Mus musculus: one gene and its partners. The protein of the gene in region 1 binds, or shares a complex with, the protein of each later gene. Links are inferred from orthologs where the notes say so. Each region holds a gene or a part of one and is shown on either strand. Other genes may lie near its edges. The genes, in order: Virma, Mettl3, Cbll1, Zc3h13 and Rbm15.

Region 1 (5,629 bases):
CTACAAACACCTTTGAAGTTAAATGCTACTAGTATTCTAATTTTAATTAATGAAATAGTGTAGCTCAGAATATTTAGGTGAAAATGGATGTAGCCAATTCCAGATAAGTCTAGTGTGGACCAGTGTTCTTTGTTGTTAATTTTGGATAGTGACAACTGTAGTTGAAATTAAAAGTTGAAATCTGTAAAATCTATAATTTGTAAAAGTAATATTTAAAAATTCATATGTATTTCATAATGAAAAAATTATTCATCATTAATCTTGCAGGTTGCTCTTTCTCCCCTTTTTTTCTTACTTGACCCAGTGGGGCTGAAGGCACATAATGAACACGTTAAACTACATCAGTGTAGACTGAGTTCTCTGCTACTGCTATGTTTAGCAGATGACCACTGTGTTTTTTTCATATTTAAGAGAGGAAGTCACCTTGGTTTTGCAGCTGTAATATATTATTAAAGTAATTTATATATTTTGACCAATTCTTTGCTCTTTTGAAGTCAAAAGGAAGTATTGTTTAGTACTATCTGCTTTAGATCTTTTTGTCTTAGTGATTCCCTTGTCTTTTCATTCTGTGTCTCTTAAGAATATTTTTGTTTGTTTGCTTGCTTGCTTGCTCTTCTTTTTTCTTTTATAGAAAGGTCTCACTGCCCTTGCTGGCCTGTAACTCACTATGTAGACCAGGCTAGTGTGGAACTCATTATGTAGACCAGGCTAGTCTAGAACTCGCCAAGATTGGTCTGCCTCTGCCTCGTGAATGTTGAGATTAAAGGCAGCCTGTGCTGCATGAGATCCTGTCTCAAAACAGAAAGAGGGTAAAGAGAAGAAAAGACCTTGAATTATTGTCTATTAACTAAACATTTTAAACTGATGATGATGGTGAATGCTTGTAATCTCAGCACTGGGTGCCTGAGTCGAAGGATTGCAAGTGAGAAGCAAGCAGAGACAGCATCAGAAAACATTGCCTCAAAACCAGAACCCTGCCAGGGCCAGGGAGGAAGCTCTGTTGGCAGAGTGCTTGCCCAGAATGCACAAAGCCCTGACTTTCTTTCCTGCAGCATACGAGCCGGGGTACGGTGGTCTGTAGGAATCACTGGTACAGGGTTATATTGTCAGCTGGATGGTGAGTTTGAGGCCAGTCTGGGCTACATGGGATCCTATCTCAAAAAACCAAACAACAAAATGAAATTCTGATTTCCTCATAAACCTTGTGTTTATTTCTATTTTGATTTTTGGTTTGAGGTAGGATTCAGTTGGAAAACTTAGGCTGGTCTTTATTTACCTCCTGAGTGCTAAGACCAGTCATGTACTACCATGTCCTTTCAAGTCATTACCCCATAAATTTTATTCTATAAGTAATTCCTATCCTAAGATACACTAAATACAGTTGAACCAATATTGAAAGTTGATGATTTCTTCTTGTCTCAGTGATTTGTAAAACTGTAAGAAAAAAGTTAAGGCAAAAGGATAATGCAGAGCAGAAGCCCGTGAGGGAGAGCAGGCTTGGTCGGTTTGTTTGCTTGCTTTTAAAGCTTATATCCTGAGACTTAGAAGTTGGAATATTTTAAATCATCAAAAAATTTCAAGTTATAAATTTATTAATAATGTTAGTCTGTGAAAGCTACAAAATGTAAACAAAACTATTTGGTATTTGGAAACATAATCAGATTTTTTGTTTTTCGAGACAGGGTTTCTCTGCATAGCCCTGGCTGTCCTGGAACTCACTCTGTAGACCAGGCTGGCCTCAAACTCAGAAATCCACCTGCTTCTGCCTCCCGAGTGCTGGGACTAAAGGCATAATCAGATTTTAAATACAAAAACAGTTTCATTTCTTGTACTCTGTCTTTTTGGTGTCTGCATTTTAAAAAATAAATGCTATTTAGTCTATAAATGTTTGAAGGTTTCATCTAACCCTTGAAAGAAGTTTAGTAACCATGGGGCTTTTTAAATATAGTCTGGCACAGTGGTGCAAATCTGTAATTCTAGCTCTTTATGAGGCAGAGGAGGCCAAATTAAAGTTAGAGGCTAATCTGGGGATCTTAGTGAGACCTCTGCTCAAAACAAAAACAAAACAAAGACCCCAGAACCCAAGAGCTCACTTGTCAGTTTAACCATTGCTTCATTTTTGAGAGAAATAATATAAAATGGGTCTATAGAAAAGAGTTATTTTAAATTCTTAATACAAAGAATCATAGGCTTTTATTTACTGCTTTGTTTTAGTACTTGAAATACACAAATATGCTATGTTTGGTTTTTGTTTTTGTTTTTGTTTTTGTTTTTGTTTTTTGTTTTTTGTTTTTTAGACAGGGTTTCTCTGTGCAGCCCTGGCTGTCCTGGAACTCACTTTGTAGACCAGGCTGGCCTTGAACTCAGAAACCTGCTTGCCTCTGCCTCCCAAGTGCTGGGATTAAAAGATGTGCGCTGCCACTGCCTGGCTACGTTTGATTTTTAACATATTATTGTACAGTACAAAACATGCCTGTGATGTTGCTGGAGAGATGGGTTAGCATTAAAAACACTGGTTGCTCTTCTAGAGGATTCAGGTTCCATTCCCTGTCCCTACATGGCAGCTCACTGTAACTCTAGTTCCAGAGGGGGTGCGACATTCTTATGCACACATACATGCAGACAAAACACCAGTGCATATAAGGTAAAAATTAATAAATCTTTTAAAAAAATTAAAAAAGAATTTTACAAGAAAAAGTGAAATTAAACCTAAGGTGAACTAATTTACGAAAGTTTCTTTAGTAGTGTGGTTTTTCTTAGATGTTGTCTCTTTTGTTTGGGTGTTCTTTGAGACTGGACATGGTATAGGTCTAACCCTGGCTGCCTTGGAATTCATTGTGTAACCCAAGGCTGGCCTTAAACTCACCACTGTGCTTCTTGCTTCAGCCTCCTGAGTGCTGGCATTGCAGGTGTACAGCACCACACCCAGCTTTGTCATGCTTGAAACATGCTAAAGAGTGAAGAGTGTGCAGCCCAAGCCTTTGTGCTGAGGATTAAACCTAGAGCCTTGTGCATGCGCGTGCACACTCTACCTCTGGAAGCTCAGAGTCTTCACTAACTTCTTGTTTGCTTTTATTTTATTTTTTAAAGAATATTGATAACTTGATGACTGCAGAAGGAGTTGGCCTTACCACTGCCTTACGTGTTCTCTGTAATGTGGCATGTCCACCACCTCCCGTAGAAGGTAATATAATTAATATACTTTGAAAACTTCCATACTTAAGCCTGGTTAAATATCATTAAATATTCAAAATATTCTTATATTCAAAATATTCTTGATTGATTGATAGCATGTAAGTAATTCGTTTTTTCTTATTCCTTCCTTACCCTATATAAAGGTCAGCAGAAAGACCTGAAATGGAACCTTGCTGTTATTCAGCTTTTTTCTGCTGAAGGAATGGACACCTTTATTCGGGTTCTGCAAAAACTGAACAGTATTTTGACGCAGCCTTGGAGGCTCCATGTGAACATGGGGACTACCCTGCACAGAGTCACTACCATTTCAATGGCTCGCTGCACGCTCACTCTGCTTAAAACTATGCTGACAGAGCTCCTGCGAGGCGGATCCTTTGAGTTTAAGGACATGCGTGTTCCTTCAGCACTTGTTACTTTACACATGCTCCTGTGCTCTATCCCTCTCTCAGGTCGTTTGGATAGTGATGAGCAGAAAATTCAGAATGATATCATAGATATCTTACTGACTTTTACACAAGGAGTCAATGAGAAGCTCACGATCTCGGAAGAGACTCTGGCCAATAATACTTGGTCTTTAATGTTAAAGGAAGTTCTCTCTTCCATCTTGAAGGTTCCGGAAGGCTTCTTCTCAGGACTCATACTCCTTTCAGAGCTGCTGCCTCTTCCCTTGCCCATGCAGACCACGCAGGTACCACTTCATATCACATGCATCTTGTCATGACTGCAGTAGCTCCTTAGTAATGCCAGGGATGCTGGTCAAACCCAAGCAAGCCTTCGTCCTCCTCCCCAAAGACAGAGTAACTGAGCTGAGGGTGAGATGAAACTGAAGCGAGTTGGAAGTGTGGGGTAATGTTTGAAATGCCTTTTGTGAAGCGAGTTTTATCATGTTGTTATGTATACTTGTACTTATGTTTTCCTGTTACTGCAAATCTTTTTTCTCCCCTTATCATGTTTTTAGAATTTGCAAATTAGATCGCTTCATCAATGGACTCTGCTCAACTGACTGCCAACCTGAGAACAATACTTTTTTTTAGACCTGTTGGATTCAAACAATTGTTTAATTGTAATAGTGTAATAGTGAATTATGTTTTAAGCATGCAGTAAAGGTGTTCTTTTTATGACAGTTCTTCCTGAACAGTTTTGCGACTATAATAAAAAAAAAATCTATGTACACACACATTATACTTTTTTAACAGGTTATTGAGCCACATGATATATCAGTGGCACTCAACACCCGAAAATTGTGGAGCATGCACCTTCATGTTCAAGCAAAGTTGCTCCAAGAAATAGTTCGTTCTTTCTCTGGCACAACCTGCCAGCCCATTCAACATATGTTACGGCGTATTTGTGTTCAATTGTGTGACCTTGCCTCTCCAACTGCTCTTCTGATCATGAGAACTGTGTTGGATTTGATTGTAGAAGACTTGCAAAGGTATTTTCATTCCACCTTAAGAAGTTTTCCTCAAGTTACTCTTGACACAGATAACCTCTTTTACATAGTTTGGAAACTAGGGTTTAGTAAGCCTAGATAACATGTGGATGTATAAATACACACACACACACACACACACACACGCACACACATACTATAATATATGAAAATTATTTTTTTAGAATGCTTTATCTTCTCATTTCATGTGTAAGTCATGTTGAAGGTCTTGATTGGGGTTTTTACTTAAATTTCATTATAGCATAATGCTTGCTTGTGTGCATGTACATGCTCATACATGTATGGTCAGGACTTTATATAGTTGCTTTTTTCTTTCCTTCTGTATGTGGATTCTGGGGTTGAACTCAGGTCATTAGGGTTGTTCTATATGAGTACCTTTATTTCCTGAGTCACCTTCCTGCCCCAGTTTTGCAGTTTTTAAAAGGTGAAGTATAAAGAACTACTCTGACTTGAAGTATATTATTGAAATCCTGAAATTATAAAATTTTGCAGTGACTATAAGCTTCTGGAAAAAAATCATTATATCAAAGGAATGAGGTGTATGTTTTATACAAAATTTGTGTGAATATATAGAAAATATGAAATTGTGTTTAAAATCAAGAACCTTGTTTACTGAACATATTGATTTTATTTCAGCACTTCAGAAGATAAAGAAAAACAGTATACTAGCCAAACCACCAGGTTGCTTGCTCTTCTCGATGCCCTGGCTTCACACAAAGCTTGTAAATTAGCTATTTTGCATCTAATTAATGGAACTATTAAAGGCGATGAAAGATATGCAGAGATCTTCCAGGATCTTTTAGCTTTGGTGCGCTCTCCTGGGGACAGTGTTACTCGCCAGCAGTGCGTGGAGTATGTCACATCCATTTTGCAGTCTCTCTGTGACCAGGTATTCATTGCTTTTATTGTCATCGTTTGTGTTGGTGTAACTCCTGTCTAGTAATTTTGAGAGTAAACAATGCAGCTTGCTCATGGTGTATTACT
Region 2 (6,429 bases), on another chromosome or scaffold:
GATTATGTTTCCCAGGGATGGATCTGAAATTTTAATGAAACATGGCTATTGGCCATGGAGAATATGCTTCATAAACATAAACACCAGGCCCTTGGAATACTTGGCCAAAGGCCTGATCAGCAAATGATGGTCCCAGCATATTCCCACTATATGATCTTACTCCACCACTGTACACATGAAAAGGTCATGGAAGCACAGTAAAGGTTTGGATGGTTTAAAATAATTGGCCTTAGCTAAAAGTATACAAAGAAATGTAAGTAATAATTGCTACATAGCACACTTACAACAGTGTTAAGAGAAATACTTGCCTTCAGCAGGACTGTGCTGGTGGATATTAGACTCTTGGAATTCAGAGATCCTACAAGTCTAATAAATGTGAACTAAAACAGAGGCATACACTAGGAGCAAATCCTGAACTTTCTTATTGAAGTTATAAATTTGAAGTACCAAAAATTTACTTTCAATGAGCAAATATGCACGATGATAAAAGCCACTGTAACAAGGAAACACGAGCTCTTTTCAAAAAGGAATTCAGATTCTATTAACAAACGTAAGTGTTAAAGTGTTTTCTTGATTCAAAGTATGCCAAGGGGGCTAATGTATAAGTTGTGGAAGCCAGGCCTGTAAGCTTGGGAGGCTAAGGCAGGAAGGATCACAGAAGCTTTGGGCTACAGAGTAATTCATGTCTAAGTCTAGACAGTTTAGCAAACCTTTCTCAAAATAATACATTTAAAAAGGCAGCCGGGCATAGAAGCACATTGCCTTTTAGTCCCAGGCAAGCGGAGGCAGGCAGTTAGCTCTGAGTTTGAGGCCAGCTTGGTGTATATAGTAAGTTCCAGACCAGCCAGAGTTACATGGTGAGACATTTTCCCCTCCCCTTAAAAAAAAAAAAAAAAAAAAAGGATTTTTTTGATAGGGACTATAAAAGTATAGGTGGGGTTTTTTTTTGTTTGTTTTTTGTAGCTCTGGCTGTCCTGGAACTCACTATGTAGTCCAAAAGTCTGCCTCGCTTTGTCTCCCAAGTGCTGGAACTGAAGGCATATACCACCACAACTATCCTATTATTGGTAAGTTGTAAGTCAAATTATATCACTACTTTGTCATGGAGATGCCTGATTTTTTTCACAGGGTCTTACTATTTAGTCCAGGCTGGTCTGGAACCTACTATGTAACCCAGTACAGCCTCAAACTCTGCTGCCTTAGCCTCCTAAGTACTGAGATTACAGGTATGAACTATCATGCCTGGCCTTGTTTGTCTGAGATAGGATCTACTTAGCCCACGCTAACCTAAAAATTTCTAACCTCCTGATGGGGTTATAGGCATGTAATGCCATGCCTAGCTTGTTAGGTAGATTTTGAAATGGTTTTAAGTCATATATTAACCATTTCCCCATTTATACTCAATTATGTGGCCAAGGCTGAAAAGATGGCTCAATGGTTAAAATGCTTGCTGTTCAAACCTGGGGTTTGGTCCCCAGAACATATATGGTGGCTGACAACTATTTGTAATCCAGTTTCATGGGATCCAAAGATTTCTTCTGGCTTTGAAGGGTATTGGGCACACATGTGGGGCACATAATTCCGTGAAGGCAAAACACTTACATAAAAAACAAACAAACATGTGTGCCAAGCACTGTGTAATACAATCCTATTCCTACAAATGTTTATTTTGTTAATCAAAACTCCAGGCAATTCTTTTTTATTGTTGTTGTTTTGTTTTTCAAGACAAGGTTTCTCTGTATAGCCCCAGCCATCCTGAAATTTGCTCTGTAGACCAGGCTAGCCTTTGACTCTGCCTCCTAAGTGCAAACTAAGATTTGTATGTGCGCCACCACCACCCAACATGGCAATTCTTATTATACATTGACTTTGTAGGGTTTTTTTTTTTTTTTTGTCTAGCCCAATTTAATGAGCATACTTTGGGAAAGCTGTCCATGACCAAAACAAATGTTAGTAAATAAGTCTTAAATTCTTGAGTGTTTTCCATGATTTCAAACTTCTAATTAAAGCCAAAGAAACATCCTTTTTGATGTAATCTAGCCGAAATTCTATGTGGAAACATAGACTGCTTTTCAAGCTACAAATATAGTTAAAACTGGTATTTTATAGAAATATGCAATGATACCTAATGCCAAATATGTTTAAACAAACTTTTTGCTATTAGGTTTATTTCAAACAAAACAAAGAATCTATCAACTCAAAACAAGGAATCTAACTGCTGTGCCTGTTACATTTTTTGATTAAAGTGTTACTGTTCTTCATTCCTGGTGTGTTTGAGATAGGGTCTTACTGTGTAGCTCTGGCTATCCTGGAACTCACTATGTACACCATGCTGGCTTCGAACTCTCAAATCTTGGTTTCTAATTATTCCCTTTTCCTATGTTTTGCACTTTGTGTTCCATAATGCCCTATTATCTTTTTTAAATTATGTAATCTGATAAATCTTGTATTGGCTAATGCAGTTTAAAAATCAAGGCCAAATTTAACTGGCAACTCCAGTAGGAAGTCCCCATTAAGCTTGCCCCATTTCTTAGTCATTGTAGCGACTGTGGACCCATTCATTTAGCATCTTACATATATAATACTGTAGCTGTGACACTTTCTTTCTTTTTCTTTTCTTTTTTTTTTTTTGGCTTTGTTGTTTTGTTTTGAGGCAGGGTCTCTCTAGGTAGTTCTGGCTGTCCTGGAACTCACTGTGTATACCAGGCTGGCCTCAAACTCACAGATATCCCTCTTGTTTAAAAAAGTGCTGGGATGGGCTGGTGAGATGGCTCAGTGGGTAAGAGCACCCGACTGCTCTTCCGAAGGTCTGAAGTTCAAATCCCAGCAACCACATGGTGGCTCACAACCATCTGTAACAAGATCTGACTCCCTCTTCTGGAGTGTCTGAGGACAGCTACAGTGTACTTACATATAATAAATAAATAAATCTTTTAAAAAAAAAAGTGCTGGGATTACAGGCATGAGCCACCATGAAGGGTTTTTCTCCCTGCTTTTTCTTCTAATCTTCTTTGATTCTCACATAGATTTTTAAGCTCCTTTAAGGTAACAGCAGTGTCTTCTTTTTGCCGAAACCCATGAGTAGTGTAGATATGCAATAAATGTTCACAAATTACGGTGAGACTGAATTTCACCAAGGTCTGCTGTTGTGAGCTGTGAATACTGCAAAGCACTGACATGCTACCCACACATGTAGTATGGATTCGGTATTCTCGCAGAGCTTTGCAACTGGTTTACCTTAAATAATTGAGCTTGTGCTGGAGAAGGCTATTAGGGTAGTACTCTTTTAAGTGCCTTCAATTTTTCTAACTTTGTCATACAAGGGGGAGGGGGAAAATGTTTAAAGACCAAAATCAAGTGTTTTCAGATTCTTGCTACGTTTGTAAACACTTGCACTACTCATTCATTAAGGTCCTAGTGAGAAGGTCCTAGTGAGGACCCTGTTGTGGCTGCTAAACCGGGCTCTGGGGATAGATATACAGAAGCAATCCTTGCTCCCCGCCCACATGGGAAAGAAAAGACAGTGACAAAGCAAACGTTACAACTAAGGTAAAACAGGCACAGAAGCAACAAAACGGGTTTTGCTGGCTCTCGGAATAAGGTACTGAGAGGCTTCACGGACGCAACATTCTCCTAGACAGGACTGGAATGGGACCCAAGGAGAGGAGTGGACCCATGTTGGTGTGGTGTTACGCTTGAAAAACCGACGCCCGGGAGGAGGCACTGCAAGCTTTCCCGCAGGTGGGCATGCGTTTCAGCTACTCGGGAAAGATGGGGTAACCAACAATCGAGGAGTCCAATAAAGGGCTGCTCCGGAAAGGGCGCAGAGCCCGGGGCTGTCTTCCTCTCCAGGAGTCTCTCGCCCCGCCCAGGCCCGCCCCGACCACCCCGCACCTCACCCAAGTGCCCAGAGTCCTGCTTCCGTCGCCGCTGCAATCTCTCGCGAAGCGAGTCCAGCTGTTTCTTATGGGCCTGGATAGAGCTCCACGTGTCCGACATCCTAGCTCCCAGCGCGGACTCGGCTCGAATCAGGCGCGGCGGACTAGCACCTCCCCAGCCTAGAACTAAGAAACATCTAATTCTCACGAGGACGCCCGAAGGCCAGCCGGATAGAGCCAAGATGAAAAGCCACTTCCGGTTGGCGAACCAGCCGGACGTAATCCTCACGGTAGTTCTCTCTCGTGTTTCCGGGAGCGCTGAGGCTGTGTTTGCCATGTTGGTAGCTGGCAGACCCGCCATGTTGTTTCTTTAAGTCGTTAGTGACAACGCATTTAAAATAGCAGGGCTAGAACAAGTGTGAGTGTTTGACGGGTGGGTGTATGCGTGGAGAGATGGATGGACGGGAAGGAGTGAACAGACTGTTAGTCTGGTTGATTGTATATTCTGGTCCTTGCACATACGGTCAAGCACTGTATCATAGATTTCTGCCCTTAAGGCCCCAGATTTTCTAAGTTAAATATTATCTTCCTTCCTTCCTTCCTTCCTCCCTCCCTCCCTCCCTCCCTCCCTCCCTCCCTCCCTCCCTCCCTCCCTCCCTCCCTCCCTCCTTCTTTCTTTCTTTCTTTCTTTCTTTCTTTCTTTCTTTCTTTCTTTCTTTCTTTCTTTCTTTCTTTCTTTCTATACAAAGTGTGTGAAAGGAGAGTGGAGTTTCACTATGTGGTTCTGCAACTCACAATCCTCCTGCCTCAATATCCGAGTTCTGGGAATTCAGGCATATTCTAAGACAAACATCTTAATTAGGGAACCATCTTTTTCAGCGTGAGGGAGCACTCTTTAAAAATGTTCAGGATGAGTGGAGAGATGTCTCGGCAGGTAAGAGCACTCAGTGCTCTCCCAGAGGTCCTGAGTTCAATTCCCAGCAACCACATGGTTACTCATATCCATCTGTAATTGGGATCCGTTGCCCTTTTCTGGTGTGCCTGAAGACGGCTACAGTGTACTCATATACATATAATAAATTTGTTCTTTTTTTTTTTTTTAAAAGAAAATGTGCAAGAAATGGGGAGGTAGCTCAGTAAAGTGTTTGCTGTGAAAGCATGAGATTCTGAGATTCCCAGAACCCACATAAATTTAAGGCAAAGCTGTGTGGGGTGGCAGACATTGTTTTAGCTTAATTTAGAAAAAGGTTTATTTTTGTGTTTGAATATTTGTATATGTGTGTTTGTACACACACACACACACACACACACACACATACCTGGCTCCCCTGGAGACCAGAAGACGGAGTCATCTTCGTGAACTAGAGTTACAGGCAATTGTGATGTACAATGTGGGTGCTAGGGTTTGAACCTGAGTTCAATTCTGTAATAATAAATTGTGCTCTTTACCACTGAGCCTTATCTCCAGCCCATGACTAGGCAGTTGTTATCTCAGTGTTGGAAAGGCAGAGAACAGTAGATCTCCTGGGCTGGCTATCAAACCTATCCAGAAACAAAAACTAAAGTAAAATTATTTCTATTATTGCACTGAATGGTCTTATGTACAGTAGTTTGATTACAAAAACTAATAAAATAGTCCCTAAATAATGAAAAGTTAAGGGGCTGGAGAGATGACTCAGCAATGAAGAGCACTGTCTGCTCTTCCAGAGGTCCTGAGTTCAATTCCCAGCAACCACATAGTGGTTCACAACCATTTGTAATGGGATCCAATGACTTCCTCTGGTGTGTCTGAAGACAGCTACAGTGTGTACTCAAATAAATAAATAAAAACGGGGGTGGTGGGTGATAGCTAAGTGGCAAATATGTGCATAGTATGCCATAGTATGCCAGAGATCTCCAGGGCAGCAAAGCAGAGTCAGGGTTTACGCGATTGTGAGACGACGTTGCACTCCTCACTTCAGCTTTGCCTCCTGTGCTATGGGGGTTGGGTCCACAGTTGGACCAATGTCTCCCATAATTTATGATCTTATGTGGGATGTATATACTTGCTGTTATTCCTGATAAATGAGCCAATTAGAGCCAGACAGGATCATATTAAAGGCAGGTTTACTGGGAATCTGCTCTTGAGTGAGTTCACTGTCCCCAAGGATTGGGGCCAGGGGGGTGGCCATGGATGGGGATGGGGGAAGAGAAAAAGATAACAAGTTCTCGAACAAGGGGAGAAAAGGAGGAGGAGAGATGGGGAGGGGAAGAAGAGAGCAGGGTCGAGGGGGGGGGAGGGAGAGAGAGAGAGAGAGAGAGAGAGAGAGAGAGCCCGCGCGGGCAAAATGTCTGGATTATAGAGGGAGGAACCTCTGGGGGAAGGGCAGGAAGGGCAGCCTGGCCCCTGGAATGGCAAATTCAAGGTTGTGGGCAGGGTATGCCAGGTAGGGAGGAGGGATGCTGGGAGAACCTGGGGGCCAGGTCTGCTTTGATATGTAAAATATACACCCCAGTCCCTTATTCTGGGACCTAGAAACCAAACACTTCCTATTAATTTTATTTCCCCTTT
Region 3 (5,629 bases), on another chromosome or scaffold:
CACACAGTGAAATGGTTAGAATTTCTTAAGTTGTTACCATAAACAGAAGTAAAAAGTGATTAGTATAATTCCATTTGCTTGTTCTTCTTCTTAAATAGCAGCTAATGATTTTACTTGGTTCTACCAAAAATTACTTCAAATTATTTTATTTATTTATTTTTTTGTTTGTTTGTTTGGTTTTTTTTTTTCTGAGACAGGGTTTCTCTGTGTATCCCTGGCTGTCCTGGAACTCAGAAATCCGCCTGCCTCTGCCTCCCAAGTGCTGGGATTAAAGACGTGAGTCACCACCGCCCAGCATTCAAATTATTTTTGAAGATGGTAAAAACAAGCAAGTGGACTTATGTGTGCTACACGTCACGACATACTAAAAATCCACACTTAGTGGATAAGTACTTAATGCCTAATTTCTAATTTTTCACTTTTAGTTATACCTTGAAATCCCAAAAAAGGTGTCCTGGAAATCTTCGCTGATTCCCAAAGAGTTCGCCTCCTTTACAGTCATATCGCTGTTCTTCGTTATAATCAAATCCTTCTGAGAGAAAAAAGTTACATTACATTTTCCAACTTCAAATTTCAATTTAAAGTATATTTATTTACATAACAAAATTAAAAGTATATATATTTACTGAAAAATGTTTCTGATAACTTTCAGAGATCTAAAAACATGAAAATCAAAATTCCTAAAACTACTCTAAAACAATAAAAAAACAAAAACAAAAAACTAAACCTATATTAAATTCATGTTATTATAAAACTTCCCTTAGAGTTTTGTATATAAAACTAGTTATAAAAAACGTAGTAAAAGTATTCTAGAGTCCTACCTCTACAACACCAGGCCTTAATTTTACTTACCGTTTTCCCACAGATTTTAATAGACAACTCACATTTGTCACAGAAATTAACTGGCATATCATTTTTAAACTAGAGTTTAAAATGCCGGCTGGAAGTAGTCTTCATGATCATTGAGTCCATCTCTAGTACTTTACAAATGACAACATACTGTGGGTACAGCAGCCACCATATAAGCCACGTGCCAGAGCCAAGAACAGACCTATAACCGAGTCTCTTATTCAATGCTCTTAGCAACTCCACTAACCACCTCTAATATAAAACCTCACCAATTATCACCATGTTGTTTACGGAACAGAATTTAGGAGTAAGACAGATCTTCTAGAACTTGAATGTATGTTAACAGCCAGATTTCTATTCTGGAATTAAAAAACCAATTACTCAGTATTTATGGTAAACAAAACATCACTTAAAAAAAAAACAAAACACACCCATAAATATTCTAAAGTATGGGCCAACAATCTGTTACTATAAAAGGCCACAGTACAAAACTTAGGCTTTCTTGGTCATATAAATCTAGTTAATTCTGCCACGCTAGTAGGAAAATAGCCACAAGGCAATACTCTTAACTGAACAGCAACTTTATCTATTTTAAAGGAACCAAACTTGGCCTGTAGACCAGCTTGCTGACTTCTAACAGATGGCAAGACAGGAAGCGGTTTTTATATTCATGAAACTAGGAAAGGCCTTTTAAAGAATATATTAAAAACAGGAGAGAGCAAGCTCTAGTTTAACTGGCTTCCTAGAATGTCCAAGTTCTTTACAGTAATATTTTATATACAAAGTTCAAAAGATAAATGAACTACACAGACATTTAACAAAGCCAATATTATAAAGAATTCAAAATTAAGAGAAAGGCAGCAATCAAAACAGAGCCTGGAACTGAGGCAAGAACTGGCGAGCACTATGAAAAGGCATCCAACCACACTTAGGCTCCTGCCTGTGACCACAGCACTGACAAGGCCGAGGCAGCAAGACTTTTGACCTTCAAGAGCAGAATGGCTATCCAAGTTCTGCCTCAAAAAAAGTTAAATTAATAGTGCAAAATACTGAGTATGTGAGTAGAAACTATACCACACCCTTTCTGAAGAATTTAGCAAGATCTGATATATTCTGAAATGTACAAATCAAGTCTTTAAAAACAGTCATTTGTTGTGTACATGATATGGAGGGAGGGGTCTGCACATATGGAGAGTGGTGGGTGGAGGTCAGTTCTCTCCTTCCTTTTAAATGGTTCTAGGATGAAACTTGGGTCACCAGGCTTAGGGCAATTACCCTCACCCATTTCAAGAATTTGGCCATCTTCTCAAGTCAAATTTTTAATATTCACATTACAACACAATTACGGCAAAACAAGTATCTACAAGAAAGTAAAATAAATTGTAGGATATCTACAGACTAAACATCTAGGACTACTCATTTGTTTGAGACAGGGTCTGTCCTCAAACATTAATCCTCTTGTCTCAGCTTCCTAAGTGCTGGGATTTCAGCCATGTGCCACCTCACCTGGGTAAAACTATATTTTATTTTTGGTTTTTCTAGACAAGATTTTTCTGTGTAGCCCTGTCTGTCCTGGAACTTGCCCTGTAGACCAGACTGGCCTTGAACTCAGAGATCTACCTGCCTCTGTCTCTGGAGTGTTGGGATTAAAAGCATTCACTACTACCACCCAGCTTACTTGAAAGATTTTTTTTTAAGGGGCACTAGCATCAGTTTTATAGAGGACCGTGAAAACAAATTTTACTTTTAATGTAATGCTCTGTGCAATACCAGGGGAAGGGCGCTTAAAAAGGGATAGAACTAAACTAATTCTAAAATAGGTTTAATAAAATCAGATGGATTACTTGATACACTCAGATAAACAAGAGAACTCTTTTTAAAATTTTACTTGTATTTATGTGCATTGGTGTTTTGCCTGCATGTATGACTACGTGAGGGTGCTGGAGTTACACACAGTTGTGAACTGCCATATGGGTGCTGGGAACTGAAGCTGGGTCCTCTGGAGGAGCATTCAGTGCTCTGAATCCCTGAGCCATCTCCAACCTGACAACTCAGTTTACACTCATTTCAGTTTACACCAGTTACCTTCATCACCTTGCGGGGCCTTTGCGGGCATCCTGCTGACAGTCCTTTGAGTCCGAGGTGCCGGCTTAACTTTGCTGGCTTGTTTGGAGATGAGCTTTATAGGGATTCTTCTGCGAACATCAAGACCACCCAAGGATCCAGAACTATTAGTGCCTTGTAACTCATTGTCTATATGAATGTAAGAAAAGAAATTGTAATTATGTTTACTTTTCTTTTTGAAAATTGTTCTACAACAAGTATAAAGATAAAATCAACAACATCAAACAATAAACTGAAGATCTTGGCTCTGATTTTAAATACTAGACTGGTAAGTGTAACTGCTAATAGTCTTTATTTGGGGTAAACCTTTAAAGAAATGCTTTCGGTTAAGCTTTAATTAATTAATTAATTAATTATTTATTTTGTCAGGGAACCCTTTCAGAAGCTGATAAAAATTATAGAACATTTATCTTTCTAAAAAATGAGCAATAAAAATTACCATACAATTCTATAGTAGTTTACAAAAAGATAACCCTCTTTAAAAGTCTAAAAACCTCTTACAGATTGTAAAGATTTTTAAAAATAAAGGAGAAAAAAAAATTGTCTTAACATATGTGCCTAATTATCAAACAGGTGAAGTAGCCATGCAGTAAACTTAGTAAATTTACATAACAAATTGAAAATGCAACCCTAAATCTGAAATATATTTGAAAATGAAGTTTTAATTTATTATGTTTAGGGGGGACTGCTGTGGAGCCACAGTGAATATGTGGAGGTCAGAAAACAATCTGTGGGAATCGTTTCTCCCCTCCAACCACCTGAGCCCCAGATGTTGACTTCAGGGCCTCAGCAGGTAGCAGTGTCACCCGTTACGCCACCTTACTGGCTTATGTGTTGGCTTTAAAGAGGTAATTATTCCCTTAAGCATAACATTTTTTTAAAAAATTATTCAACGGAAACAAAAATATATCATTTAATAGAACACATGCATTATTTGTACTATAACATTTCTAGAGACACAGGCAACAGGTATCTTTAGTTAACAGTCAACACTGCAATGGAAAACTATTAGTTAGACCTGGGTCTTAAAAAACAAGACACTTTCTAGTCCTTAAAAATCTTACCATCAATGAAAAAAAGGAATTCTTGTTCATGAATAAGGGGCACATTATTTCACAGGACTGAATCACATAGAAGTACATAAAAATATGTAACACAAAGTATTAAACTTTACCTTAGGATAAAAAGGGAAACACGTAAGGGTAAAAAATGCAAATATAATCTTAAAATTGTAGTGTCTGCAACACAAATTACGGAACAGAGCTCCTGCAAGAGTTACAATCGAAGCTGAGAGCCAAACTGTCCACGTTAAATCCGGCAAAACACAAATGTGAACGTAGTCTGCTAGTACTAATAATGTCCACTTCTATAGGCAATACCAACCAATTAAACTCATACCCTCTTGCCCTTTCTATCATCAAAATAAAATGAAATTTAAAATGGGTTTTAATGATTAAACATGTTTACTTTCTACTCTTATAACAGCTAACTCCTCTCAAAATCTTTCATGGAAAGATTAGATGAATAGCTACAATCTTGAATTATAATAAACCAACTTGATCAATCTTCAATACTGCACTAAAATGGAGTGTCTTTCATGTATTTCAGCAGTCTCTGCTGCATTCGCTCATCTATATATAAGTACCTACATAGATCTCAGATAACCTTTTCCCCTTGCACAAAAAGTCTTCCCACCTTTCCAAAGAACTGAACTAGCCAACATGTTGCCCTTCAGATATCACAAGAGTTATTAGTGTGTCAGTCTGTGATTGACAACACACTACCTGCACAGCCTTCCAACCAGCTCACATAACCCAGTTTCCCATTATTTAAACAGTAGCCTGGCTCTTTCACGAGCCTCTTTCTAAAGCTACTGTTTGCCTCACAGATTTCAAGGGACAAAATTCTGAAGTTTGTTTGTGTGGGGCCACCCATACACAGAAACAAAACACAAAGCATGTAATAAATATCTGGATGTTACATAAGGGATAAAAAGAATAATTGGGCCATTTAAAGTAAATATACCTTTAAAAATATATTATTTTATTATATAGTTTTAAAAACAACACACTTAATATTTTATCTTGAATAAAAGGAGCCAAGGAACTTAAGCCAGGTATGTAGCTCAGTGGTAAAACCTGTCTAAGGTCCTGGGTTCAGGTCCCCAGGATCTATCTCCCCCAAAAGAATGAAGCAGTATTTTAAAAATGTGGGTTCCTTTTACCTAAGCACTAACCATCTCTTACAATGACTAAAGAATGAATCAAGTGTTTGCAGGGTCTTTATTGGCCTGGGTGCCCGTGAGGTAAGAGCATGGGACAGAGCTGGCCTGAAAGGAGCTGCAAGGGTGCCATCACCTTTCTGCTGCTTCTCTCCACCCCCGAGGGCCCTGAGCTCACCGCTGACACTGCTGCAATCTAGAGAAACACTAAAGAAAGCAATACGTGTTTGCCATTTAAAAAAATTCTAAATTTTTTTTTTCTGGCAGAATTCTACTTCAATACTCCCATTTACAAGACCTCTTGATCCTTTGACATTAAAAATCATTATTTTGAGAAGTCTACTCAGTCAGAAAATTGTCAATTAACTAGCTAACTACCATTTCTTGGTTTGCCAAAGGCTCTATGATTCAAATTTGTATTTATTTTGTGAAAGT
Region 4 (5,629 bases), on another chromosome or scaffold:
AGCAATGCAATCTCTAAATGGCCGTCTAGCACAGTGGCTCTTAGCCTGGGAGTCACAGCCCCTTTGAGGGTCGAGCCACCCTTTCATAGGGGTCACATAACAGATATCCTGCATATCAGATATTTATATTACAATCCAACAATAGCAAAATTATAGTTATAAGTAGCAACAAAATAATTTTATGGTTGGGGTCATCACAACATGTACTAAAGGACAAAGCATTAGGAATCCTGAACCGAATACCAAGAAGAAAGGGAGCTGAGCCCAGCCTGATGTTCCTGGCCTGCCTGCCTGCTGGCTGTGAGTGCAAGCGACCAAGTGTGCCCCTTCCCCACCCCCCACTACCCCAGCCCCGCCATGATGCACATGGCACCCTCAAACTCTAGGCCAAAATAAGCCTCCTCCTGACAGGCATTTTGTCACAGCAACAGAAAAGAAACCAACAGACCATGTATTCAGCGATTCTGTTCCCTGGGATAAAACCAAGAAAAATAAACTCGTGCTAACAAAAGACTTGTACATGAATCTTCTCACTCACATTATGGGGGAAAAGAGGGAAGAGCCCAAATATCCATCAATGATAAGTGAAAAAGAGAATATAGAATGCTAATGGAATATTCTTAGAAAAAAAAAGACAAAGGAACAATCTTCCATAAATATTAAAAACTAAGGAAGATACTCAAGAGAGGTAACACCTTATAAGATCTATTTAAAGAAGCACAAAGAGTAGACACTTTATAAAAAAGAAGTGATTTCATGACTGCCTAGGGCTCATGGTCAGTGGGGCAACAGGAGTGATTGACAGAAGAGATGGGATTTCTTTACAGAGGGATAAAAACTGACCACGAGGATAACTTCACAACTGTAGCCTGCATTTAGATACTCGTGAGTTCCCGGATCATACAAAACCTTTTAAGTTCAGCTAAGCTCTGCTGGTCATTTTAAGTACATAGAAAATTATTTATTCACACAGGATATTGTCATGTGTAATTATAGATTTATAGCATATTAAGTCACGCTACTTAATATTTAAAATGGAGTTCATGAAATAAATGACTACTGAAACTTAAGTGGGTCTTACAAATTTTATGCCTACCCTAACAGGTGAGGATGGCTCCTCTGTATTCCGTTTCTGGGATTCAGAATCCACATCCTGACGCTTATTCTTCATTCTTTCTCTGAGGTCACCTGTGGGTCTTTCTGGTGACCTGTGATACAAAACAAAACAACAAAAATCTGTATTTCTATGATGTTTTATAAGAATAATATAAATAACTTCATAAAGACTAATATAATTTTTCTGTCTTTGGTGCCTAAACTTCTGAAAAATAATGTTTCAGCTTATTAAACAGTAATATTTTAAAATATGAGAAATATTTACAAGTTTCTCCTAATGCCATTCAAGATGCATGTTAACTTCCATTGTGTGTTAAGTACTGGTAATATAAAAAAGAAGCAATGTATGTACTAAAGAAAATGAGTGTGTAAATAGCAGCTTGAGTTACCTCCTGTTCACCACCTAAATTTAGCAGACATATTGTAGATGAAGGAGAGTAAAAGAAAGGTTAAGTTATAAAGTAGCAAAATTATTTCAGAGATAATAGCATTCCCATCCACAGATATGTATGTAGTTGCATACACTACTAACTAAAAATTACTTTATGCACCTTAAAAATGATAGCCATAGATGGCTCAGTGGGTAAAAGTGACGGCCATTCATGCCTAAAGAAGAAAACAGACTCCCAAAAGCTGTCCTCTGACCTTCACATTCAAATGTGGAGTGCCCACATGAGTGAACACATACACACACTTACTTAAAAATCTCCCGTCACTAATTTTCACATTCAGTTTTCCAGCTACTGATGTAGACAAAGCAATCAGCATACACAATTTCAGGACTAGGTAAACTCTTTGTTTACCAATTAAATTATTTCTGTAAAAAATACTATGCATGTTAACTTTAAAAATTATTGCCAAGTCATTAAAAGGAGACACAGGGAATCCTAACAACATCTTCACTGTGCAAGTTAAGTTTAGCCAAGTTTCTCTCAAAGGCAAATAGAGTTCTGCAGAGGAAATATTTATCCACATAGAAACACACTTAATTTTTTTAAATTATTTGTTTGTTTGCTTTATGTGTATGGGTATTTTTTTTTGCATGACTGTGCATCATGTACATGACTGGTGCCTAAAGCCAGAAAATGACACTGGGTCCCCCAGGACTGCACTTACAGATGACTGTTAGCTACCCTGTAGGTGCTGGAAACTAAACCCAGGTCTACTAGAAAAGCAGTCAGGGATCTTAACCACTGACTATCACTCCTGCCCCTAAGTGCATTTATATTAACACAGTGCCCCAAGAGGGTTGGCAAGTAGATTTTATAACAAAGCTTGTATAAGATATGAATTTAAAATGCCTGTAGAAAATTACAATTAAACCTTATTTAAATTTTACTCGTTTACGAAAAGTAAACTCTCTCAAACGTCTGAGTTGTGCCTAAGCAGAAATTTAATACACACCTGGGGCTGTGTCAGGTAGGGGCTCTTTAAGGGCTGTTCTTTCCCAGACTCAGTCTCTCCACAGGTGTTCATTGATTTGAATATACACATTGAAAAATGGATCTACTACCAAAACATGTAAACATGTACACTTTAAAGCTAAAGTTTTATTAATCTTAACAGTAACAACCAAAATAAGACTATCCAAAAAAAGAAAATCTGACCAAATATATGGTTTTATTTCATATTTTTACACTAAACTACAAAAGTTGGTTTTTAATACTATAGAAAATATCTGAGTTCTCAGTTTACCTTCTGTAATTGCTGCTGTAGCCTTTCCCACGAGGTGAAGGGCCATGTATGAACCTACATGTGTTTCCATAGAGGCAGCTGCCAGTCTTCAGCCAGTTACGACACTGTGTCTATGAGGCAAATATTACTATGTAAATGTCTGGAGAAAAGATGGTACCAGGGCAAAATCAAGTCAGAGAGACCCAAATGCCAGCTAAGCATATGCCACTCCAATAATAATAACACCATAAGGGAATGAAAAACCACAGGAAGGTGTGTGTGTGTTTAGGTAGAGAGTAGTTCCTGGAATGGGGTATTAATATGCTCGAAATACATCGTATACATTGAACATACAAAAATATTATATAATGAGAACTTTACAAACCTTAACCCTTCCTTGTATTTCCTTTTATAAAATAAAATTTGCTAAGCCAAACCCATGACAAAACACAATTTCTTTTATAATAGCAATCAGTACTTCAATAATAGTATTTTAAATGTTTCCCCCAGTACACAGGATCGAGGCTAGGGCCTCTTTATACATGATAGGTAAGGGCTCTGCCACTACACCACACTCCAATAGGTGCTCTGAACCCACAGTAGCAACAACTCACCTCTGTTGTGCTTCCAGTGCTGGGGCCAAGCCTCTCAAATACGCTAGGTCTTCGGGATGTACTCTCAGATATGGTCTTGGTGTTTTCCACTGTGACCTTTCTCCTAATTTTTGACATTTTGAACTACTTTAACCAAAAAAGAGAGAGTTAAAACTGTACAATCTTTCAATTTTACACACCTGAGCCTAAAACTTCAAACAGACAAAACTATAAGTAAAGCCTAAAAATGGAGATTTTTTTTTTTTCTCTTGAGGCAGGGGGTGGACAGAAAGATACTGAAAGAAGACACCAATAAACAAAGATGGTGCTTGCCTTCTAAGTGCCCAACAACTCTGGAAACGGTTGGTTGACCTGTATATCCTCTGTACTGGACATTCAACTTCAAATGTTACTTAAACATTTAAAAAGTGTTGTAAAATTTAGTAGGCCTGTCCTTTAGGGGAACAACTGATTAACTACTGATTAACTGTTAAGTTGCTACAGAAGTACTGTTTTAAATGAGTATGGAACTGTCTGGGTCCATGTGCTGCTACATGTTAGTAATCTCTGTCCTCAGGAAGCTGAGGCAGGAGAATCTCTAGTTCACAGCCTAGTTATGTCTGGAAGAAAACCAAAAGTAAAACAAACAAACAAACAGTATAGAAGAAAAGTGGACATTACTTAAAAATTCTTTGCTACAGGGGTCACAGAAAATCTGATTAAAAATATTAATTTTTCGGTAATATTGAAACCAAAACTGCCCAAGGTTTCTAACACATGCTGATGAAAGTCAAAGCTGCTAAAGGTAATGAAAAAAATCAAGTGGCAACAGTAGATAAAAGCTAAACAAAGCATTAAAAAACTAGAAACTATAATCAGAAAACTAACTCAATTATTTAATTGAAAGTGAAAATTCAGGAGACAGCACATGTTAGAAAACAAATTCTAGACCAAGAAATAATTGGTACTGATTTACTTAAGGAAAAAACTCTGTGAGTAAAAGCAAAGGAGCTAACTACACAACACTTTACATCACCTAACTGTCACGTGATTAGAAAGAGCCCTAGAAGCTTAAAAAAAAAAAAAAGGTAAGTTCTATTTGATACACAACTAATCCTGTGTGCCTGTGTGTGCTTGAGTCAAGATCTCACGTAGCCCACTTTGACCTCAAGTTCAACATACAGCAAAGGATGACCTTGAGCTTCCTGTCCTTCTGCCTCCACTGATTTCTGCAATCCCAGGCACCCACGCCTGACTCTGTATGCAGCACTAGGCATTGAACACAGGGCTTCCCGACGCTCTCCACTACATACACTCCCCAGCAGCAGAACCTGTCTTTATCAAGATCACAGACGATCTCTAATGATTTCAAAATAAATACGTATTACTGGACAAGAAATCACATCAGTAGCAGCTGAGTGTGTGGTGGGGCAGGCCTGTAAACCTAGCACTCAGAAAGAAGACTAAGGCAAGAGGACTGTAAATTCAGGCCAGCCTGGATTACGTAGTGAGTTCAAGGTCAGCCTGGGATTAATAGTATAACGCTGTTTTGAAAATAACAACAACAAAAAGAAAACAGATAAAATATCCTGAAATATAAAAATAAAGCCAAAAATTCAATAGTGATTATAAAAATATTTCACTTAATTAGGCCATTTAGGTCACATTCTGATACATTTAAAAGTTAGAAAAAAAGTTTGACAAGTGAAAAAAGATGGCAAATCAAGGTAGATTTAACTGGGAAGTTTATATATTATATTACTAACTCTTTAACATAAAATGTAACCATTCTTTTAATAGAATAAAAATTAAGAAATAACTCTGAAGTAATTATATACTTTAAAGAGTTTAGAATGTCACATTCATGAGCAAAATCAGTTGTACAAGCCATTGTCCAAGACAGCATATGAGCCAGATATAAATTAACATCAGTATAATATATATCTTTAATTTCTCTCAAACTCATCCTCAGCCCAAATATAAATGTGCAGAAGAAGACACAGCAGTGCACATATCTAGTTGATTATGGAACAGAGCATGAAAGAACTGAAAACTTAAAGAAGTGGTGTAGAAAAAGACCTAGAAAACAAAAGCTTTGATTAACTGAGAATAACACCTAGAAATGGACAATTTCTATCTATGTAGAAGGCAGTAAGGAGTAAATGTATGTTAGCTGAGCCTGGTGGTACACACTTTTATCCCTAGCACTTGGGAGGGAAAGGCCAGCAGATCTAATGCCAGCCTGG
Region 5 (6,414 bases), on another chromosome or scaffold:
TATAAGCCTGCAGGCAACTCTTACTGAAACCAGAAATTTCTTAAGTGGATACAGAAACCTTCATTTTTGGTTTTGAAGTATGCACAATAAAACTGTATTAGCTACACCTCTCAAGTCAGTAAGAACACTATCGTGCACCTAACTTACCAACAAATTCTCATTTTAAAAGCATTTACTCATTTCTTGCATACCAGTTTAAGATGTAAATGGTTTATAACACAAGCCTCAACTTTTACCCGTTACTGCTACAAACATGGGATACAAAACTCAAAAACTAATATGTTAAAGCAAACTTTCTGGGAATAAACTGTATATTTAAAGAAATACTCAAACACCTGATTAAAGTAATTGGACTTTGCAACACCTGATCAAATTTTTGTCACACAATGCTTCTAGTTTAAATTTTCTATGCACCAATCAAATCATTTTCAGTACAGAGTAAATATTATCAGAAGGTACTTTTCTCCAAATTATAATTTTAAAAATTGGGGGTTTTATCATTTTGAGGATTTAAAAAAAAAGAAACCCTCAAAATTGAAAAAGGAAAAAAAAAACCTAAAGAAAAATTATGAGGGTAAGAACTCCTAATTAAAGCAACCTATCTTCCCGCTACCTCAGGGCATCCCTTTCACTTAGTAACTAACTGCCCTAATATCTATTTTAAGGTTTACAAAAATATATATATATAAAAAAAAAATCAACTAAACTAATTGAAAGAAATTTTCATCTGATGCTATATCCCATTACACATCACAAAACAAGGAACCATGTCAAGTAGTAAATACAAGTTACACATGGACTTTAGGACGCACCACGGACAATGATCATGACCAGGTAATCTTCTTCAGATTTGGCCAGTGCCTTGGCAGGGGAATCCAGGAACTGCTGAGAGAACTCACAAGGTGGGAAGGCATGAAGAACCCCGGTGTTTTCCTTGTCTTTATTGCCTCCCACAGGGAGGCTGATCACCCCAGCTGCCTGCTTTTGCTTTAAATAGGACACAAGGTTCCTAAGTGGCCTCTGAGTAGAGGCGGCAGTGTCTGATGTGGCTGAGGAAGAGGAAGATCGGCTGTCAGAACTTCCAGGTACAGCCAGGAGAATGGCATAACCATTAGGCCCTGCCACTTTGATGCGTCGAGTTACTTCATCCAACTTGGGTTGGTCCAAACGGAGCCGCTGAGTGATCTTGAGTTGGGCCACTTTGCCTCCAGTTGAGCCCTCCACAAGTAGACTGCTAGCAACTTGGAGGTCACCCTGCAACAGATGCATGTTGGAAGGGAAGTTGCTGTTCTTCAGTAGAAGCATGCCCTGCCAAGCCAAACAGAGTTTGGGAGAGGATGCTGCCACAGGAGCTGTCCCTCCATCCTGTTTCTGGGAAGGTGGCTTCTGCTTTGATGAAGAAGTGCTGGCACTGGGTGCATTGCCATCAGATCGGTCTTCCTTTTTCAGAGGGTTTTTTCCCTCTGTGGGAGCAGCTGTCCGATGCTTCCTATCCCGTTCAGCTGATGCAGAGTTTTTACGGTCTCGCTTGTCGCTCTGGCTCTTCTCCAAACTGCCCCGTCTATCTCTGACTGGGGAAGACCTTTCCAAGAGGAGAAGACGAGATGATCGATCATTGTCACTGTTGTAGCGATCTCTGTTACTGCTCAGTTCTGGACTTCGGTCAGGAGAAGGAGTGCAGTGACGCTGTTTTCGAGGCCGTTCACTCTCAGGTGATCTATCAAGATGCCGTCCTCCACTTTCCTCAGGCAGCCTTCGCTTCCTTGGCTGGTCCCTGCTGCTGGGCAAGTCCCGATCACCTCTGTCCCTGTCCAGTGACCAGCCATCCCTCCTTCGATCCAAGCTATCTAGTGGCTCATAAGCAGTGACAGCACTAGTTGCAGCCCGAGCACTGCGTTCTCGAACCGGTGGTGGGGGTGGCACCCAGTCAGAATCAGTATAAAGGTCCCTATCACGATCTCTGTATAGTAAGGGTGGTGTCCTGTCCCGAGCACTCCTCAAAGGGTCAGGTGCTCTATGTCCAAAAGTATCCGTCACTAGTTCATAGTGGGTCAAGGGCAGAGGCTGAAGATATTGCTGCTGGTAACGATGTTCTGTGTCTGCAAAGTCTACCCTGAGGCGACGATCTGGGCCACCAAGTGGGAATCCACGCATATGGGTCCAGGCAGCATGAGCTGCATCCAAACTTTCATACTGTATATATGCCCAACTGTCACCTTTACGGTAGTCTATGGTTCGAATGGTGCCAAATCGGTCAAATTCTCGTGCCAGGGCAGCAAGAGGCACCCAGGGTCCCAGACCACCCACCCAAAGTCGGGTAGTGGGTGTGGCTTTACCATAACCAATCTTGATTGGATTCCGAATTATAATTTTGCCAGACATTGCAAGTTTGGCCCTGTGAGACATGTCTAGATTCTCAAATTTGAGAAAGCCATAGGTACTGGTCTGGCCTCGAGAAGGCCTCTTAATGTCCACTTCTGTGATGACTCCAAAACGATCAAAAGCCCTTCTGAGATCATTTTCCGTCACAGTGATATCTAAGTTGCCCAAGAAAAGTGTCCGGTTGGCACGCTGATCGTCCTCAGGTGATATCTCATCCACTTCTCGGAAAGGAGCCGCACCTGCTCCAGCTCCCACCCTCGGCTCCAGGCTGTAGGCCGGGCGCACCCGGTCATAGAACGGATAGTCTCGTTCTCTTTCCAGCTCTCGGGGCAATGGTGGCGGGGGTGGAGGAGGCAGGCGGCCCAGGGCCAACTGCTGCAACCGGTAGTCTCTGTATCCCAGAGCAGCACCTCCAGGGGAAAGCGACCTCTGACCTCCCCCTCCTCCAGGGGCGTGCCGGTGGCTACCGACTGAGGTCCCGACCACGCTGGATGACGGGGCGTAAGCATCTTTGTCTAACGGGGAGCGGCTGCGGCGCCGGCTCACGTACACGGCTTCTATCTTCAGAGGCCGGTCATAGAGCACCAGGCGGCCTCTGGCATGCTTGGCCGCCCTCGCGTCCTCTGGCCTCCGGAAGTTCACAAAGGCTACCCGCTCATCCCCGCTGCCAGAACCTGAGAGGTGACTGATTTTGACACTTACATCACCGAAGCGTTTGAACTCGTGAAACAGCCCGTCCTCCACCGCCTCGTCGCTCAGCTGGGACCCCAGCTCGCTGATCTTCAGGGTCTTGTACTCCACGCCGTCCCCGCCGCCGGGCGCGGAGGAGGCGGCCCCGGAGGAACGTGACTCCCCGCCTCCACCCCGGGAGCTGCTGCGCGACTCGCCCCCGCCTGAGGAATTTTTGGTGCTCGGGGAGCTGTAACTGTGCAAGCGGCTACTGGAGCTGCCCCCGCCGGTCTCGTACTCGCGGCTGCCGCCCCGGCTGCTGGACTTGTCCAGATGAAGGCTCCGCCGCGACCCGCCGCTGTCCGTCTTCCCGCTGCTGCTCCCATTGCTGCCGCCGGAGCCCCCTAACTTCTTGCTCCGCTCCCCACGAGAACTGGAGTCCTCACCGCCACGGGAGCGCTTGGGCTTGACCGGCGAGCGCTCCTTTCCTTTCATTGTTGAGGGTCGCCGGAGGTCGTCTCTGCGGAGCTGACTAACCCGCCACCCCGCGCTCGTTTCACACAGCGGACTCGCACGCCGCCATCTTGGACTCCGCCGCGGCAAAGGCTCCCGCCCCGCAGACCTCATTGGTCAATTAATTCACTCTTCAGCCTTCTCATTGGAAAAACTATTTGTCCGTCTTTACATCTCCCCGCGCTCCGGGAAGGCGCCCGCCCCGACGCTGTTATTGGGTTCCCAACGCCCTAATCCCAGTACCTCATTGGTTATATTCGTTGTCTATCTTAACGGTTCCTCGCGCCAGGCTGTAGCTCCGCCCCTCGCACTTCATGGTCACCTGACCCAAAGCCTAGAAGCGTTGATTGGACAAAAACTCTGCCCTGTAACGGTACTTCTAGCACGGCGAACGCAGCGATCCCACCTTCTCTTCCCTTTCATTGGTTTGTGGCCACGTCTTTTAAATCACTATCGGGAAGTCTGGACATCAGTTCAGGCGTTTTTTCCTGAGAATTTGGCTCTCTCCGATCTCGCGAGAGACAAAGAGCTCGCTCGCTCACTCGCTCACTCGCTCGCTCTCTTTCGACCCCAGTCTTCCAACTTCTCCGGCGGCTGAAGAAAGTTTAAATCTGATTGGATGTTGACGAGGAACATGATTGGATAAAAGCGCTGTCCATCACTCACTTAAAGGAGTAGGCCCATAAACTGAGGCGTCTGAAGGTGAAAGACTAAGACCACGCGCTTGCTGTGCGACGTCACTTTGCTGTCGCGAGATGGTGACAGTGAGTCAGGCCCGCCTCCCCGCGCTTTCGGCGTTCTCTTAAACATTTGTTAGGTCCTTACGGCGTACTTGCCTGTGCTTCGGTCCTTCGAGTCTGGAACTTGCGGGCTCCTCACTGTCCTGTCTGGGCGGGACAATGGGCTCGGTGGTCCTTCCGGCTGCTGGCCCTCACTCGATCCGCCTAGGCAGCTGTCCCGGACAGTCCAGCCGACACCATCTTAGTTAGCTGCCTGAAAAAGCCCCACCCCCGTGCGCGAGAAAACGCCTGCCCCGGTCTGTGCGGCCCGCTGGGGCGGTGAGTTCAGGGTTCACAGAGCCTCGGGTCACGCTGACGCCCTGGGCGGTACCGAGTCACTGCCCGCCCGCGGACACAGGGAACAGCGCCGCGGAGCCCTGGCCAGTCTCAGTGGCCGCCTTAGGGCCCGCAGTGTCCTGCAAGCCCACTTACTGGTCCGACCTGCAGGACCACTTGCAGATTTTTGCTTCCTGCTTTATGTTGTGAATCCCTGTAAGGTTTGCATTTATAAAAGATGTGTGAGACATAATATAGCTGTGCTTTGCTTTAATGTGTCACACTTCTCACTGTGCGGACACTACATTTATCTCGTTTCTAGGACTCCAGCACTCCGATTAATCCATAGTAGGACCCAGTAACATGGCCACCTTGCTCCCTCCTATATCCACTTCCTTTGACTCCTTTAACCGTGATTCCCGTCTAAACGCCTCCCGTCTCCCACCTCTGCGACCCCATGCACCTGAATCTCTTAAGCTTATGTAATACTGGTGATCATGAGATTAGATGCGTAGTCTATCCCACTAGCGTTTACCTCCTGGTGAGAGGAAATAGGCTTTTTGCAGTCTTCCCAAAAATGTACCTAGGAGAGATGAGAAAGATTTTGGTATTTACATCTTCTAAGACTGAGTAGAGAATGTGTTTTAAAACAGGACATTTTACAAGGTGATAAGAATGCCCTTCCCCAAAACTTGAATTCTAAATTTATAAGCTACTTGAAGATTAGATACAGCAACCTGATTAGCCCTATTTCAACCGTTTTGTTTTGTTGGTATATAACCCTGAAATTGGTGAACAGTTGGGCCAAACTCTCTTGGTCACAGCAAAAAGATTTGAAAGAAGCTCAATATGTAAGTTATAAACCGCAAAATACTATAAAGCATAGACATATTTGTATATTAAAAGTAGCTGTTATGTGGCTTTTGGAACACCTGTATCCCAGCTGCTCTTGCGGATAGGATCACAATTGCTTTCTTCATTAGCTAGAGTAACTTGGTAACTTGGTGAGATTCTGTCTTAAAACCACCCCTACACAAAAGTCTGGAGACATAGCTCAGGACCCTTGGACACCTATGTGAAGCTCTAGGTTCAATTCCTAGTACTGGGAAAAAAAATTCTTTTAAAGATTTATTTAGCAGTGCATGATGGTGTACCCCTTTAATCCTACCACTTGAAAGTCAGAAGCAGGCAGATCTCTGTAAATTCAAGACCAGAGTTGTCTATATAGTGAATACTAGGCCAGCCAAGACTGTATAACGAGACTTTGTCATAAAAATATTTATGTGAATGTCTGTATGTATGGTAGTGTTCTAATATCCAGAGAAGCCAGAGAGGGTGATAGAGCCCCTGAAGCTGGAGTTACAGGGTTGTGAGTCACCAATCTGGGCCCCTGGGAAACAAACTGTAGTCCTCTGTAAGAGCAGCAAGTACTCTTCAACGCCTGAGCCATCTCTCCAGGCCTGCAAAAATAATGTTTAAAAGATGTTTAAATAATGTTAACATAAAATGCCATCAGTCAGAGAAAAAATGTGTATAATAAACTACCAGTTGTGGTTTTAAAAATCGTGGATTACATATATATGCTTACACTTTTATTGAAATTGTTACAGAGATTGCTCTTAGGGGCAGGGATTAGCAAGAGAAATTTTCCTTGTAGGATTTTAGTTTAAAAATGTACAATAGTAGGGTATTTCCTGAAGACCACCTCATGTCCTGAACACAGAGTCTCAGCAATTATAAGATCATGTCCGTCTTATTTTTCTTTAAGTCTATAATCCTATTCACATTCTCCCCT

Evidence for each region.
Region 2: Virma (region 1) and Mettl3 share a complex: the UniProt entries of both Homo sapiens proteins name them as parts of the WMM complex. The link is inferred for Mus musculus from reciprocal best matches to the Homo sapiens genes VIRMA and METTL3.
Region 3: Virma (region 1) and Cbll1 share a complex: the UniProt entries of both Homo sapiens proteins name them as parts of the WMM complex. The link is inferred for Mus musculus from reciprocal best matches to the Homo sapiens genes VIRMA and CBLL1.
Region 4: the proteins of Virma (region 1) and Zc3h13 are in contact, whole or in part, in a cryo-EM structure (PDB 7VF2), measured with the Homo sapiens proteins. The link is inferred for Mus musculus from reciprocal best matches to the Homo sapiens genes VIRMA and ZC3H13. Residues at the interface, in NP_056311.2 of Homo sapiens: Leu521, Ser529, Tyr531, Gln532, Leu535, Glu536, Ile538, Leu539, Leu540, Asp541, Val544, Val547, Thr548, Ser551, Leu554, Gln555, His558, Glu561, Val562, Ser564, Glu565, Lys567, Gly570, Asp571, Ala574, Glu575, Thr577, Ser578, Glu621, Glu625; in NP_001317494.1 of Homo sapiens: Pro1492, Leu1493, Asp1494, Val1495, Ile1496, Asp1497, Val1498, Asp1499, Trp1500, Ser1501, Gly1502, His1507, Leu1518, Lys1520, Phe1521, Pro1523, Val1526, Met1527, Arg1529, Val1530, Gly1531, Ile1532, Ser1533, Lys1535, Leu1536, Ala1537, Gly1538, Leu1541, Lys1544, Val1545.
Region 5: Virma (region 1) and Rbm15 share a complex: the UniProt entries of both Homo sapiens proteins name them as parts of the WMM complex. The link is inferred for Mus musculus from reciprocal best matches to the Homo sapiens genes VIRMA and RBM15.

The regions. Positions count from the first base shown.
Region 1 is NC_000070.6:11,523,257-11,528,885, forward strand, and holds part of Virma (protein virilizer homolog), read left to right. Parts: intron 1-3,090; coding exon 3,091-3,184; intron 3,185-3,338; coding exon 3,339-3,883; intron 3,884-4,391; coding exon 4,392-4,627; intron 4,628-5,281; coding exon 5,282-5,534; intron 5,535-5,629. UniProt on the Homo sapiens protein: Associated component of the WMM complex, a complex that mediates N6-methyladenosine (m6A) methylation of RNAs, a modification that plays a role in the efficiency of mRNA splicing and RNA processing.
Region 2 is NC_000080.6:52,300,989-52,307,417, forward strand, and holds the start of Mettl3 (N6-adenosine-methyltransferase subunit METTL3), read right to left. Parts: upstream 4,137-6,429; 5' UTR 4,000-4,136; coding exon 3,900-3,999; exon of another isoform or gene 3,895-3,899; intron 1-3,894. UniProt on the Homo sapiens protein: The METTL3-METTL14 heterodimer forms a N6-methyltransferase complex that methylates adenosine residues at the N(6) position of some RNAs and regulates various processes such as the circadian clock, differentiation of embryonic and hematopoietic stem cells, cortical neurogenesis, response to DNA damage, differentiation of T-cells and primary miRNA processing.
Region 3 is NC_000078.6:31,491,648-31,497,276, forward strand, and holds part of Cbll1 (E3 ubiquitin-protein ligase Hakai), read right to left. Parts: intron 3,103-5,629; coding exon 2,935-3,102; intron 533-2,934; coding exon 432-532; intron 1-431. UniProt on the Homo sapiens protein: E3 ubiquitin-protein ligase that mediates ubiquitination of several tyrosine-phosphorylated Src substrates, including CDH1, CTTN and DOK1. Targets CDH1 for endocytosis and degradation.
Region 4 is NC_000080.6:75,289,470-75,295,098, reverse strand, and holds part of Zc3h13 (zinc finger CCCH domain-containing protein 13), read right to left. Parts: intron 3,531-5,629; 5' UTR 3,522-3,530; coding exon 3,405-3,521; intron 2,922-3,404; coding exon 2,812-2,921; intron 1,209-2,811; coding exon 1,097-1,208; intron 1-1,096. UniProt on the Homo sapiens protein: Associated component of the WMM complex, a complex that mediates N6-methyladenosine (m6A) methylation of RNAs, a modification that plays a role in the efficiency of mRNA splicing and RNA processing.
Region 5 is NC_000069.6:107,329,403-107,335,816, forward strand, and holds the start of Rbm15 (RNA-binding protein 15), read right to left. Parts: upstream 3,888-6,414; 5' UTR 3,679-3,887; coding exon 813-3,678; intron 1-812. UniProt on the Homo sapiens protein: RNA-binding protein that acts as a key regulator of N6-methyladenosine (m6A) methylation of RNAs, thereby regulating different processes, such as hematopoietic cell homeostasis, alternative splicing of mRNAs and X chromosome inactivation mediated by Xist RNA.